Linked DNA regions of Mus musculus. Each later gene encodes a partner of the first gene's protein in a complex. Links are inferred from orthologs where the notes say so. Each region holds a gene or a part of one and is shown in the gene's direction. Other genes may lie near its edges.

Region 1 (4,562 bases):
ATGTCAAGGCAGTGTTTTGACCACGGGCATTTTCACCCAAGTTAATGTGAGGAAAACAGCCTAGTTCAAATGACTCAACTTTGATTCCTTGGACTCTCGGTGGAAGCTGAGAGCCGACTCTTGAAAGTTGTCTTCTGACCACGCCCTGTGGCATGAGGCTGACTGAGCACACTTAAGCAGCACCCCAATCCATTTCATTCCACTCCAGAAATAACAGCTCTGAATTCTGTGTGGCTTTCCTTTGCCCAACTTTGTAGTTTTACTATCTTAGTGCTTTGGATTTTTTTGGGTGGGTGGGTGGGTGTCTTTTTTTGGAGACAGGGTTTCTCTGTGTAGCCCTGGCTGTCCTGGAGCTCACTCTGTAGACCAGGCTGGCCTCGAACTCAGAAATCTGCCTGCCTCTGCCTCCCCAGTGCTGGGAGTAAAGGCATGTGCCACCAATGCCCTGCAGTACTTTGGATTTTTAAAGTTTAAGTGTAAAAATCTGACTTTTTTTTTCCCATTGAAAACAACTTGTGGGGGCTGGAGAGATGGCTCAGCGGTTAAGAGTACTGGCTGTTCTTCCAGAGGGTCTGAGTTCAATCTATAAAGAGATATGATCCCCTCTTCTGGCATGCAATTGTACCTGCAGACAGTGCACTCATACATTTAAAATGAGTGAATGAACGAGTGAATAATAAATGATTAAACAAATAAAGGAATGAATAAACAAACAAATAGAAAACAACTTGGGCAAGACTCATGGTGGCTCCCGCACCCCTAATTCACTGCTTTCTTAATCACTCTAAAGCCTAAACAAGTCAGCACGGAACGTTCCTTTGGTTGAATCCAGATGAGTGGTAGATCCAAATGAGTGGTTGGGCAAAGGAAAGATACTCCAGTCCTTTCTACAAACTCACGGCGTTAGGGGTAAAAAGAGATCTGGAGACGGGAAAGAAGACTGGTTCAGCCTCCTGGTCCACGTGAGAAAAACTGAGGGATGCTGGGTCAGCTCACTTTTTGGGCCTCTGTCCATTTCTAACGATGGGAGGTGAAAGGCAAAGTCCGAGCGACTGGATGGTGGCGGTCCTTAGGGCCCCAGGGGGCGTGGTGCCAGATGACAGTATTCCAATTTCGCGCTCAGCCAGAGGAAAGACCGACTAGGAGCGCACCAAAGGTACTCCGCCCAGTTCTTTTTGTCCCTCTCGGGTTCCTGTCCACACGCACTACCTCAGCGATCCCATTGGTCGTAGTCCTCGCCTGGGCGGGAGAGAGGGAGCGAGTGGGCGGGGCCGCGTGGCGTCAGCGCAAGATGGCGGCCTCGGCGGCTCTGTTCTCGCGCTTGCGGAGCGGGCTCCGGGTAGGCGCGCGGGGGCTGTGCACGCGGCTAGCGCCGCCACCTCCCCGCACTCCCGAGCAGGTGAGCGGCGCCGGGACGCGCGCCCCGATATGGGGCTTCTCTCTAAAGTTTTGGGCGTCTGGTGGCAACCCCGGCGGGTCTGGGAGACCGCACCTCAGGGTGCTGAATGGGACGGAGCCCGCGTTTTCGATGTTTCCATGCTTCCTGTGTGGACCACAGTTGCTCCCCCGGGGCTGGATTATGGAGGCCCGGAGTGCATCCCCTGGAGCCCAGGTCTCAACCACGTGGGTGCCGGGAGAGGTCACCTGTTCTGATCTCGGTGACCATTCAGGTGATACTTGACGGGGGTGGGGCCCAGGGCGCTAGGGACCCAGGGTCTGTCCCAGTGACATTTCAATCGCCTCCTTGAGCGAGAGGAACAGGAAGGATCCAGCCTGCCGTCCGTTCCAGCCTAGCCATTCTGACCTCCAAGTCCATGACTTTCCGTTCCCAAAGTCCCAGACAGGAGATTGCCTCTCCTCGCTCTTGCTTCCTTCCCTTCCAAACCCCTCCATCTTGGGCTCTGGGTATCCGGATATCTTAACTGTTCGTTCTGTCCCTTGGGTGCCCTCTGTCCCTTTAGTTTTGACATCTCTGTGCTAGCGCGCGCGCGCACACACACACACACACACACACACCCATCCCTTATTCTCCTTGCCCTACTCTTCCTGGCTCCAGACCCTGCAGTGCTATTGCTTCCAAGACCTTGAGCAATTTGCCCTTTCAGCTCTTGAACCCCTGTGATTCTCTAGACAGTTTAGTTGTGACTGTCTGAGGGGAGCAGCCTCTGAACTCACCCCTTCAGGGACACAGTTTTCTGCTCTGGATGTCCACTTCCTGGTTCTTGATCTTGAGGCTGCTTGGACAAATTTAAGTATTCTGTTATTTCTCTCTGTGTGACCTCTCCTCCATCCCCCTCCACTCAGGTCACTGAAATTGCCAACCGTGGGGGCTCCAAGGCCCAGGGGCCACAGCACCAGCCAGGCTCCGAGGGTCCCAGCTATGCCAAAAAAATTGCGCTCTGGATCGCCGGTTTGCTCGGAGCTGGTGGGACTGTCAGCATCGTCTATATTTTTGGTGAGAGACATAACCCTTGACTGTTGGCCCCCAGATTTCTACTGTGAACCCCCCCTTTCTTTCCCCATACTCAGTTCATTACCTGGCTCCTCCAACTAGGATACTCACCTTGAAATTCAAGAAGTCCTCTTCGACCCCTTGTACTTAAAAGTTCTATCCTCTAGTTGTTCCCTGTACCTGAATTCAGGAACTAAGGGAATGGTGGGAAGAGTAGGGCTAGACCAGTGTGCTTGGTTTCAGTCCTGGGACAAGGGACTGCGGTTCGTATTGGTGGAGAAATAACCTGTCACCGTGCCTGAAGCTATGTGTCCATCTCAGCAGCAGAAGTCTACCTTCCCCTTGTGTGTCCAGCTCAGCCCCAGCCCACTTGGAATCCTGACCCCTAACCTCTTCCTCCCTTTATCCAGGAGCTGTGCCTCTAGCCATAATCCCTTTGAGTGGGGAGTCCCCACCCCTCACTCTCCTCCCCCCTCCAGACCCAGTAGACACTGCTCCAAGGCTCCAGTTTTCTTCATTTGTCTCTTGTCTCCTTCCCTGGCAGGAAACAACCCTGTGGATGAAAATGGTACCAAGGTGAGGAGAGTGAGAGGCAGAGGTGTGAGGGGTCGGTTCTGTGAGGGTGCGGGGCAGGTTGCCTTCCATTGGGTCAGGCTCTCTATAGTCTGCACTGAGCCTCTCCCTTCTTCTCTGGGACTCAGCCTGGAACTCGCAGACTGAATGTGCTGGGCTCCTGCCTCTGCCGGTTCAAACCTTTCCTTTTTTCCCCAGATTCCTGATGAATTCGACAGCGGTGAGTGATTAAACACAGAGCTGGGCTTCCTTCCCACCTCTGCTGCTCTGTTTATTCCTGTAGAGTGCTCTTGGCCTGTCTCATACACCAACCCCTCCTCCATCCGAGGTGTGGCAGTTAGATGGCTCAGGGGACAGACGTGACAAAAGCTCCCTTTCGCGGCCCCACCGCCCTGGAGCAGATGGTCAGGGACAGATGGGGGCAGGGAGCGTCAGCAGTCCATCCCAGACACAGGGCTTTCTGTGCCTTAGATTTGGCATCTGCAGCCCCTGACCCCACTCTTTTATAACACCTTTTTTTTTTTTTTAAATCCCCAAGTCCCTACTCCAACCCATGCCTCATTTCCAAAACAGTGTCTCTCTGTGTCTGTGTCTGTGTCTCTGCCCTGCTTCTCCACACACCCCGACTACCAGAGTTTGTTAAGGGACTTCCAATAAATTCGATAGTGGAATAGTTGTGGTTTTTACCGGACCTTTTCTTAGAGAAGGTGACGTTTGTGGGTCCGAAAGGCCCCTGTTTGTGTGGGAGGTCTGCAGACAGCATGTACAAGCACTGACCGCTCTGTTCATGCTAGGCAGATGGGTAAGTCTGTTCTTTTAACTGGAGAGGCCAACCCCCTTGTTTTATCTTTTTTTTTTCTTATTTATTTGTTTTTGAGACAGGGTCTCTCTATGTAGCCCTGGCTGTCCTGGAGCTCACTGTGTAGACCAGGCTAATCTCAAACCCACAGAGATCCACTTGTCTCTTCTCCCAATTGCTGGAATTAAAGGCCTACACCACCATGCCCTGCTCTCCACTGGTTTAAACAAATTACCTAAATTGGGCAGGTAGACATGGGAGGTTAAAGTGTGCCTACTAGTTTAAACTGGCTTCAACATTGTGTCTTTTAAGAGGCAGGCTCACAGATAGAGCTAGAGTAAGAATAACATATTGAAATATTTCCATTGATTTTCCTGTGTTCATTTAACCCAGAGTTTTCACCCTTGGCTCTAACACTGATGGTTTTTATTAGGACAGTGGCTGCTGGGGTTGGAGGATGGGTGCTGGGCAAGGGCTCTGCGTCCTCACTGCTGTCTCATTTTAAAATGAGGTGCGTGTGTGCTGACCCATGGATGCAGATGCCTTCAAAGGCTAGATAAGAGCTTTGGGTCCCTTGCAGCTACAGTAACAGGTGTTTGTCATCCTCTTGACATGGGTGCCATCTCTCCTGCCTGCTGGTGCAGCCATCCCCACCCCATCCCCTTTGAGACAAGATCTTACAAAATTGCCTACTTTGACTTCAAACTCATTATATAATCCTGGCTGCCCCCAGACAGC
Region 2 (4,634 bases), on another chromosome or scaffold:
TCAAACATTAATTAGTTAAATACCATGCAGTCATGGGTTTATTTTACTTATTTTCTGATACACACACATATATATACACATATATACATGTGTACATACACACACAGACACATGTATATCTGGCCTAGAATTCAGTATGTAAACCAGGCTGTCTCCTGTGATCCCTTTTACCTGCCCCAGCCATGCTGGGGACTACAGATGAATGCCACCATACTTATGTCTATTTGTTTTTTATTTTTTGAAGACTGGGTCTTGCCAAATTGCCATGTCTGGCCTTGACCTCCTGGACTCAAGCCATGTTTGTAGCTCAGCCTCCTTAGTACCTGAGATATTTGTACCTGCCACCGTGTCCACTTGATTCATGACTTAAATTAAAGCTATCCCTCCAGCCTTACACTTCACACAGCACCCACCAACCACGAAGAAGTAATGAATATCAGAAAAAATTATATTGACAACGAGATGCCTGCCAGGCCATGCAAGATACCAAGTATCAAAACCAAGGTGCCAGTCAAGGAGATATACTTCAATAGAGCGCATCCAAGAGCTCTGGTCTAACCCCAGCAGTACAAGGGGGCGGGGGAAGATGCACACTAGGACGGCAGAAGATGGCAGAGCACTTACTTAGCAAACACCTAGGTTCGACAGGGGCGGGAGGGGGCGGAGAAAAGGGGGAATAAAGAATAGAATAAACAGCAGAACGTCTATTAACACTGGCACATGATAGATGCATCTGCTTTTAGTTTTCTCACCCGGCTCCAGATGTTTGAGGATGCCCCTCTTCGCCAAGCGGGTCTGCAGCGCAACAGGAAGCGGCATAGTGGGTAGCTGACCAGACCTAGAAACAGACAAGACAGTACTGAAGGGCAGATCTGATTAACATTTCAATCTGGATAGCCAGTAACCACGCGTGTGTTCACACACACACACACACACACACACACACACACACACACACACACACACACACACCTACGTAACTGCAACAGTAGCTGGAAGAGAACAAAAATGCGTGCTAAAAGATAAAAGAGATATGTAGCAATATGGCCAGAATTAGGATCAGCAGAACTCTCCGGACCCAGGCACTGGAGACCGGATGGACCAAAGACCCAGTTCCTCTCTAGACCAAGGCTCCACCCATCACCCAAGGGACCAAGTGCCACACACCCGCAACCCAGAAATGGGATCACCCAACGTTCCTCAAAGTCCGCACGGTGGGCGGAACCAAGGCGCTAGGATGGGGGAGATACAATGCCAACGCCATCTCCAGCTTTAAAAGAAAGCTTACACCCCAGCCTTACCAGTACAACTGTGCGATTAGTCAAAGTCTATCTCCTTACCCTCCTCTCCCTCATTGGCACAGTGCTTACCAACACCGAAGGGCTCTTGGTTTAAAGCACAACAGGCTCCTCGACTCTCCCCAGGTGCAATTAACTGGTCGCATCCGACGCTTACATGGAACGGATGTGGCCCTTCTGGCTAGCCAATAAGAGCGCGCCGTTGGCCTTACGTAAGCAGAGAAGAACCAATTGTTCCCTTGGTCTACGTACAGCGCCTCAGAGCTTGTGGGCGTTTCGGAGCGGGAGGGGGACGGGGGGAGTGTCTCGCCCGCGCCACCGACTGCGCCAGGCCGGACTCTGGCGCCATGGAGGAGTACGCTCGCGAACCTTGGTACGGCGATGGGCACAGGCTTCGGGACAGTCCGCGCGACGCTCAGGCGGACAACGGGAGGCGGGCGGGGAAGGCAGGGGCTGCAGTGTCAAGTCCCTGACCCGGGAGGCTCGGAAACTTCACTGCCTCTGCGCATCCGGCATGGCCCCTCCCACTCGGACTTCGTCAAAAAACCGCCACCGTGGAGTGTCCCAGTATGTGCGGTGTGGGACAAACTATCGCACTGTTGCCCTGGCTCTTCTCCTAGACCCCCTTTGTGAGCCAAAAGAGAAACGCTGGGCAGATCCATTCCGGCGGTGAGGGAGGAGAGGCGTGGAGCCAATATCCACAGGGTTTCTTCGTGTCGCTTTTCTCAGGCTGGCTTTTGACATAGGATAGGGCATGTGTGAACTCACTGTGGGCTAAGCCAGATGGCACCTGGCTTTTCCGCACGGTCTTTTGATTTGTCCGATTTAGGTTTTAAAAGGACACAAGGGTTTCTCTGGACGTGCTTTTTGTGTCGAACCGAGTGTCAGTCACCCTGTTTATATTTTACTTAAATAACGTTTGCTAGTTAACACTATTGAAGCCTGACACGACAACTCCCCCCCCCCCCTCCCAGACACGGTTACTCTGTGGTGTAGCCCTGGCTGTCCTGGAACTCACTCTGTAGTCTTGAACTAAGAAATCCTCCTGCCTCTGCCCCCCAAGTTCTGGGATTAAAGGCGTGAACCACCCCTGCCAGGCACATGACAACTCTTACTGATTTTTGATAGTAACAAAAACCATTTTGTTTTTGGCTCCTGGTTCTAGGATTTGAGGGACTCTGTTCTTCAAATCTAGTTTCACGTAGAACTCTCTGAGAATACTGTATTGTCAGAAACAGTCATAGGGGCTCAGTGGTAGAGTAGTTGATTTAAGCAAGAGACAGATTGTGGGGGACAGGGGACCTAGATTCCAAAGCCATTTGATTTTTGATAATGACAAAAACAGTTGTATTGACGCTTGCTTGTAATCAAGAGCACTGCTCTGCCAGTAGTAAACCCATCGTTGCAAGGCTATGTGGTGAGACACCTCCCCCATCCCAAATTGTTTTCTCACTTTTGTACCACAGATAGATTTACAAACCTTTTCTTTTGGGGTTTGTTTGTTTTGAGACAGTATCTCACTATAGAACCCTGGCTGGCCTCGAACTGACTAGACTAGGCTGACCTCTGACCTCAGAGTGCTGGTATTAAAAGGCACAAACTTTCTTTGTGGGACAGGGTCTCCATTTAGAGCCCAAGTTGGACTGCCAACTTGTGATCCTCCTGTCTCAGCCTTCCAAGTGTTGATCACAGGTGTGCAGAAACACATCTGGTTTTCCTTTCTGGCTTTCTGGGGAATATAAAAAGTGTCAGAACTAATTTGTTGTCATCTAAGGTGTTCTGCATCAGTCCTGAGCTTCCCTGTTTGGTTCTCCAAGCAGGGCAGGGTCTCACATTAACCCAATCTTTTCCTTCCTGCTTGCAGCCCATGGCGAATTGTGGATGATTGCGGTGGAGCTTTCACCATGGGTGTCATTGGTGGTGGAGTCTTCCAGGCTATCAAGGGCTTCCGCAATGCCCCTGTTGTGAGTTGGGCCTTCCTCCAGTGGTGTGGGAATCTGCGGTCTTGCTGACATAGGAGTACTGCTCTGAGCATACTGAACATTCTGTTGATTGTTCACCTACTGTGTGTTGGGCCTGGCTTCTGGATTTAGGGTTTGAGGGATTCTGTTCTTCAACTATCCAGCTAGAACTCTGGAAATACTGTACTGTCAGAAACAGTCTTAGGGGCTAGAAGTATTTAGCTCAGTGGTAGAACAGTTGATTTAAGCAAGTGGGTGGGTGTGTATGTGTGTGTGGGGTGCCCACAGTTCCATCCTTAGAATTAGAATAAAAAGAAAAGGGTTAGCATCAAATTTTCAATGTGTATACACCGTAGATTTTACCACAAGACAGTCTTTGGGATAAAATTCTATATGGATGGTGGTGCCACACACCTTTAATCCCAGCCCTTGGGAGGTAAAGGCAGTCAGATCTGTGAGTTGAGGCCAGATCTGGTCTACAGAGTGAATTTTGGGACAACCAGGGCTACACAGAAAAACCCTGTCTCCCCCACCCCCCCTCAAAAAATCCTCTATACAGGAAAATGACAGGAGTTGGGCAGAAAGAACCTTTTTTTTTTCTTTTTCTTTTTCTTTTTTTTTTTTTTTTTTTTTTTTTTGGATTTTTTGAGACAGGGTTTCTCTGTATAGCCCTGGTTGTCCTGGAACTCACCCTGTAGACCAGGCTGCCGGCCTCAAACTCAGAAATCTGCCAGCCTCTACCTCCCAAGTGCTGGGATTAAAGGCGTACGTCACCACTGCCTGGCAGAAAGAACCTTTAAGTTGAAGGAGAGAGTAATATAATACCTTTCCTTTGAGCCCCACCCCTTGAAGATAGAAGGCTCATTGGATTTGGTAGCAAGCATGAGGCATGCTTACTATGCCTCTAACAGTGGTGGAGGTGATGGAACACAAGACAGGCATATATATCCCTAGAGCTTGCTGGCCAGTCAGCCTAGCTAGAAGTTGGTTCAGTGAGATACTCTGACTTCCACATGTTCACACACCTGCACGGTCATGTGTATATTCCACACAGACACACACAAACCGTTTTCCGCAGCACAGGTTGGCACACAACTTCAAATCCTCCTGTCCCGGCTTTCCAAGTACTAGCATTCCAGGCATCTGGCAGCATACCTGGTTCTGTAGCCTTTCTGTCTTGCTCGGAGTCGTCCTCAGCTCCTAGAACTCTCCTTCCTGCACCTTTGTCCATAGTTCTCATTTTTGGGAATCTTCGCACGTATTGCGCCCTCTTCTTTTTTTCTTCTGCACTAAGGAATGGAGTCTGGTACCTCCATCTTCCCATCCTGCATGCTAAGAATATTGCCGAGCTGCAGCCTCAGCCTCCTTCACAGGT
Region 3 (4,706 bases), on another chromosome or scaffold:
TTTCTCAAGCATAGGTGTATTTCTTCTGAGCTACAAAAGGACAGGACACGGCATTCCCTCCAGTACGCATCCACTTCTGTTCACTGCTGCCTGCAGCAGGGTCTAAGTGTAAAGCATCCCCCATCTAGACCAACTCCTTTAGTCCTGAGATTTCAACCAGGTTTTCTTTTCCATTTTCCATACACCAAACATATACAGACAGTTCAAGAAAACAAGACTAACCAAGTCCTTGCCTTACCCCGCCCCTTCACACAACTGAACACTCTTTAATAGCCTCTCACTGCCCTGAAAATGTAAAATTCAAGATCCTTAGTACTGTCCACACTTACTCAGCAGAGTAGGATCACTGTCCTAATTCTCTGCAGCCCATCTCTCACCATTCCACCGTTGATTCTGCGCACCCACTGCATATCTGAAGTACCTCTTTACTTTCTTCTCCAGTACTCACAGTAAGTACCAAACCTTCTGGACTACCATAACTAACTTAAGTATACTTAATTCCTACCAAAACAATGGCTCCTTCATGAACAACAACATCCATTACTCTCTGTTACAGGTATTTGACTTGTGCTATTGTTTCTCTCTCCTCACAGATTTCAAGGTACGAAAGAAGAGACCAAGTTCCTCGTGTTCAACATCGTGTGCCAGGGACAAATACAATCCAGCAAGCTAAGGCTAACAGCTCTGCACTCTGGAAGTCAGCTCTCACTGAGTCTACTGCAACAACTTTCTTTACGATTTTTGGAGACTGAAGCGCCCTTCTGCTTCACATACACAACTAGACTTCCTTAACAGGGCAAATTCTCTATCCAAGCTGAGGAAAGTATCCCGGGGAGGTCCGGTAACTACCTGTCCAACAAAGTTTTCCACAACACACATGCCACTAGTAAAACTGTAGCGCCTCTCATTGGAGTGGCATCTAGTGATTGAACATCGGGGTCATCAGAGTGGTGGAAACAAGATCAGTTAGGAGTGACTGGAGTCTCCTGGTCCTCACACTGAAACAAGGACAAAGATTTTTTTTTTCCCACGTACCAAACGAGGTGGCGTTGCCTCTGTGCGGTCCCGCCCGCCCCGAGACGCAGGCTGGCGAGGACGGAGGGACCCTGAACTGGACGGGAGCGTCCTTGGGGTCGAGAACACGCCTCTGCCTGCCAGGGAAGCTCCGGGAGTCCGAGGCAGTCGGCGCAGAAGTTCCAGCGGCGCCCCAGCGGGGCCGCTTCGTGCAGGGCTCCCAGCCGGGGCCCGCACTCATGCTGGGACCCGCAGCACACAGTCCCCGGGCCGGCCCGGGCGGAGAGCCTCATTCACTAACCCGGACAGGGACGGACTGCGCCTCCTTCTCGGCGCGCCGCGCACCATTCCCTCTCCGCAGCGGCCCGCCTGGAGGCTGCCACTCCTCGGGCCTTCGAGCGAGACCCTCGCTGCGCAGCCGCTTGCCTCCGCTCGGCAGCAGGGAGCCCACCAGCCCCGGGACGCGCCGCTTCCACTCGGCTCGAGATCGGGCTCCGGCTCCAGGCTCACTTTCCCACCACCGGAAAGCAGCCGTCTCGCGCTTCCCACTTCCGGGCCGCACACAGCCGTAAAGCGGAAGTGCGATACTTCACGGGAGCCGGCGCCCGGAAGGTCAGCGTGGTGAAGGTGGCAGGAGCAACGCGGGTCTTCCCGCTGTTGCTTGTCGCGGCCACGGCCGAGCATACGTCCCCGGCCTGAGGTGGTGGTGGCGAGCCCACCGCCGTTTGCTGCGACCTCATGGAAGGTGGCGGAGGAAGTAGCAACAAATCCACCAGCGGGTTAGCTGGCTTCTTCGGAGCCGGAGGAGCGGGTTACTCGAACGCTGATTTGGCCGGCGTCCCGCGTGAGTATCGGGCCTCGCCTGCTCCCCTTTCTGACTCCTTCCTGGGACAGCTAGAAATGTGTAACGTTCCTGTCCCTTTTCCTGCTCGCCTTTACGAGATTCACCGCCGGTGATTGGGTTTCAAGGCTGAACGAATTTGGGGGATCGTAAATCCCCGGGAAGCTCTTTTAGTGACCTAGTTTCGAGAGGAAACACAAAATGTCCTCCTCTTTAGTGCCCCGTCCCGTCTTTTCTCGTCACACGCTTTTCTGTATGCTTGGCCCTGTTAGGAGACCCTAGTTCTAGAAATAAACATTCCAAATAACAAGCGCGCTATTAATTTTTTTTCACACGGCTTTTAAATATTTCTAAACCAGTTAGGCGAAAACATTTTTCGTTCTTTGTGCGTGTGAGAGACAATTCAGGAAATCAGAAGGAGCTGGGGAAGCAAACGAAACTTTTAAGAGATTTTTAAACAAGAAAAAAGAGCCAAATTCTGAAAGCGATATAAGCAAATTCAAAGATGCAGAGGCATGAATTCCCAGCCTGTTGGCCCTTCTCAATCACCTAAGTATGTCTTTCAGGCTTTTAATGTTTTGTAATTATGGATATTCGACTGGATAAGTAGAGCTTGGGAGTTAATGTTTAATAACACTTTACTAAAGTGTTTCTTCTTGCTAATCCTCTAAGTAAAACCTTTACACTTAAAAACATTCAGAAAGCCGTTTGATAACCCTAATGTCTGCTGTCAAAACTTGAGTCCAGGACACAATTTATGTGTATCTTAGGATATCTCAGTTGCATAACATGAAGGGCACTACTTAAGGTGAGAGAGTACACATACTACTGAGGAGAGTAACGTGAGGACACAGAAGTTAGTGATAGATGACATGGCAATTGAAATAGGACCCTGAGATGGTGGTGGTGGTGATGGGCCGTGAAGGTTGTTGGAGAACAGGTTAGAGAAAACAGCTTGGGAGTTGAAGTTAGAGCTGTGACCTGAATTTAGCAACAAGTGCTTGAGAGACAGAACAAACCTGCTGTGTTTCTTGAGAAGCTATTGGGTCAGTTTGTCTTTAGAGTTGCAAGGGAATGAACTGATACAAGATTGATTGTAAGAGTTGAGAGGCAAGCCGGGCGTGGTGGCACACGCCTTTAATCCCAGCACTCGAGAGGCAGAGGCAGGCGGATTTCTGAGTTCGAGGCCAGCCTGGCCTACAAAGTGAGCTCCAGAACAGCCAGGGCTACACAGAGAAACCCTGTCTCGAAAAACCAAAAAAAAAAAAGAGTTGAGAGGCAGGAAACAGCAACAAATACAAGCTTTTATAAGCAAGGAAGGGGGGATTAGATTTGATCTAATTGTAGATGAAAGCCATTAGGGCTGATTTCATAATTTCTACAGAGAAAGTGTGTTGAAGGGATAAGAGAAAGTAAGAAATGGTTGGTATGAGATGGGATGCTTGTGTAACAATTGGAAGTCTGAAATAACAGGACTTAAAATTGATCAATAGGCTGGGCGTGGTGGCGCACGCCTTTAATCCCAGCACTTGGGAGGCAGAGGCAGGCGGATTTCTAAGTTCAAGGACAGCCAGGGCTACACAGAGAAACCCTGTCTCGAAAAACCAAAAAAAAAAAAAAAAAAAAAAAAAAGAATTGATCAATAGAATCATGCTTAGTGCATACATTTGTGAGCAATCAACCAAGATACAAAAGGACCCCAAATAGTATATTTAAAATCTATGAACATTAATTTTTCTTGCTAGATTATTTTTTGTTTTCAAAGTTGGTAGATTTAAAGTTAACCTGAAAGTCTGTATTTTCTGTTCCATTAAGCTTCATCTCTGGGTGAAAGCAGAGAGTCTCCTTGCCGTAATAAAGAGATTCTGTTAGCAAGATTGTTAGAAATGTGATGTGGACGATCTGCTTTGATAGACTTTTCTACAATCAAAAACCTAGGACTAGAGAGATGGCTCAGTGGTTAAGAGCACTAACTGCTCTTCCGGAGGTCCTGAGTTCAATTCCCAGCAACCACATGGTGGCTCACAACCATCTGATGCCCTCTTCTGGTGTGTCTGAAGACAGCTATAGTGTACTCACATGCATAAAAAAAATAAATAAATCTTTAAACAAACAAACTAACTAACCCAACTACTATTTTCCCTGAGAGACTGCTTATACTTGGCTGTTATGCTAGTTAAGGAAACTGCTTATACATACATACATACATACATACATACATACATACAAACATAGGTGGGGAGGAGTGGGTATGGGCACTTTGTGCCAAGCCTGGTGTCCTGTGTCCAATCCCTAGAACCAAACTGGTAGGTGGAAGGGACTCCAGTGAGCCCTCCACATGCACACTAGCACACACACAAACTAAAGGAAATGTGTGAATGTGAAAAGGAAGGGTAAACATAAACCAAAACAGGAATAACACTAAGCTAATTTTTCTAGGAGTTTTATGATTTGATATTAGTGCCAATATCTTATGAAAATGTAGGGCATGGGGCAAGGCCTAATTCCCAAAGAAAATTTACATTCATTGAGTTTCACAGTGTGTAACCGTTAGCTGAGTCCTATATGAAATCTTTGTGTGGATTTTGTTGCGATGTGACATTCTGTTTTCTCTCTAGTGACTGGTATGAACCCCCTGTCTCCTTATTTAAATGTGGATCCACGCTATCTCGTTCAGGTAAGATAAAGCTTTTACTAGTTTAAAGGTGTGCACCACCACAACTTCTTCAACCTATTAAATGACATCCACAGAACATCCACAGCTAATGTCATTCTTGACAATAAGAGACTGAGTCATGATCCCTCAAGATCAGGGGCGATACAGACATTTCCATTCTCTCTACTTCTCAGA

What was found.
Region 2: Timm50 (region 1) and Timm17b share a complex: the UniProt entries of both Homo sapiens proteins name them as parts of the TIM23 complex. The link is inferred for Mus musculus from reciprocal best matches to the Homo sapiens genes TIMM50 and TIMM17B.
Region 3: Timm50 (region 1) and Timm23 share a complex: the UniProt entries of both Homo sapiens proteins name them as parts of the TIM23 complex. The link is inferred for Mus musculus from reciprocal best matches to the Homo sapiens genes TIMM50 and TIMM23.

Annotation. Positions count from the first base shown.
Region 1 is NC_000073.6:28,308,762-28,313,323, reverse strand, and holds the start of Timm50 (mitochondrial import inner membrane translocase subunit TIM50 precursor), read left to right. Parts: upstream 1-1,277; 5' UTR 1,278-1,291; coding exon 1,292-1,399; exon of another isoform or gene 1,400-1,505; coding exon of another isoform or gene 1,506-1,670; intron 1,671-2,175; exon of another isoform or gene 2,176-2,234; intron 2,235-2,304; coding exon 2,305-2,455; intron 2,456-2,563; exon of another isoform or gene 2,564-2,996; coding exon 2,997-3,028; exon of another isoform or gene 3,029-3,223; coding exon 3,224-3,245; exon of another isoform or gene 3,246-3,484; intron 3,485-4,562. UniProt on the Homo sapiens protein: Essential component of the TIM23 complex, a complex that mediates the translocation of transit peptide-containing proteins across the mitochondrial inner membrane. Has some phosphatase activity in vitro; however such activity may not be relevant in vivo.
Region 2 is NC_000086.7:7,897,799-7,902,432, forward strand, and holds the start of Timm17b (mitochondrial import inner membrane translocase subunit Tim17-B), read left to right. Parts: upstream 1-1,537; 5' UTR 1,538-1,645; coding exon 1,646-1,671; intron 1,672-1,878; exon of another isoform or gene 1,879-1,967; intron 1,968-3,162; coding exon 3,163-3,262; intron 3,263-4,634. Other genes in the region: Pqbp1 (polyglutamine-binding protein 1), read right to left, coding at 753-838, 1,371-1,444. UniProt on the Homo sapiens protein: Essential component of the TIM23 complex, a complex that mediates the translocation of transit peptide-containing proteins across the mitochondrial inner membrane.
Region 3 is NC_000080.6:32,198,795-32,203,500, reverse strand, and holds the start of Timm23 (mitochondrial import inner membrane translocase subunit Tim23), read left to right. Parts: upstream 1-1,609; 5' UTR 1,610-1,752; coding exon 1,753-1,858; intron 1,859-4,473; coding exon 4,474-4,532; intron 4,533-4,706. Other genes in the region: Parg (poly(ADP-ribose) glycohydrolase), read right to left, coding at 1,036-1,255. UniProt on the Homo sapiens protein: Essential component of the TIM23 complex, a complex that mediates the translocation of transit peptide-containing proteins across the mitochondrial inner membrane.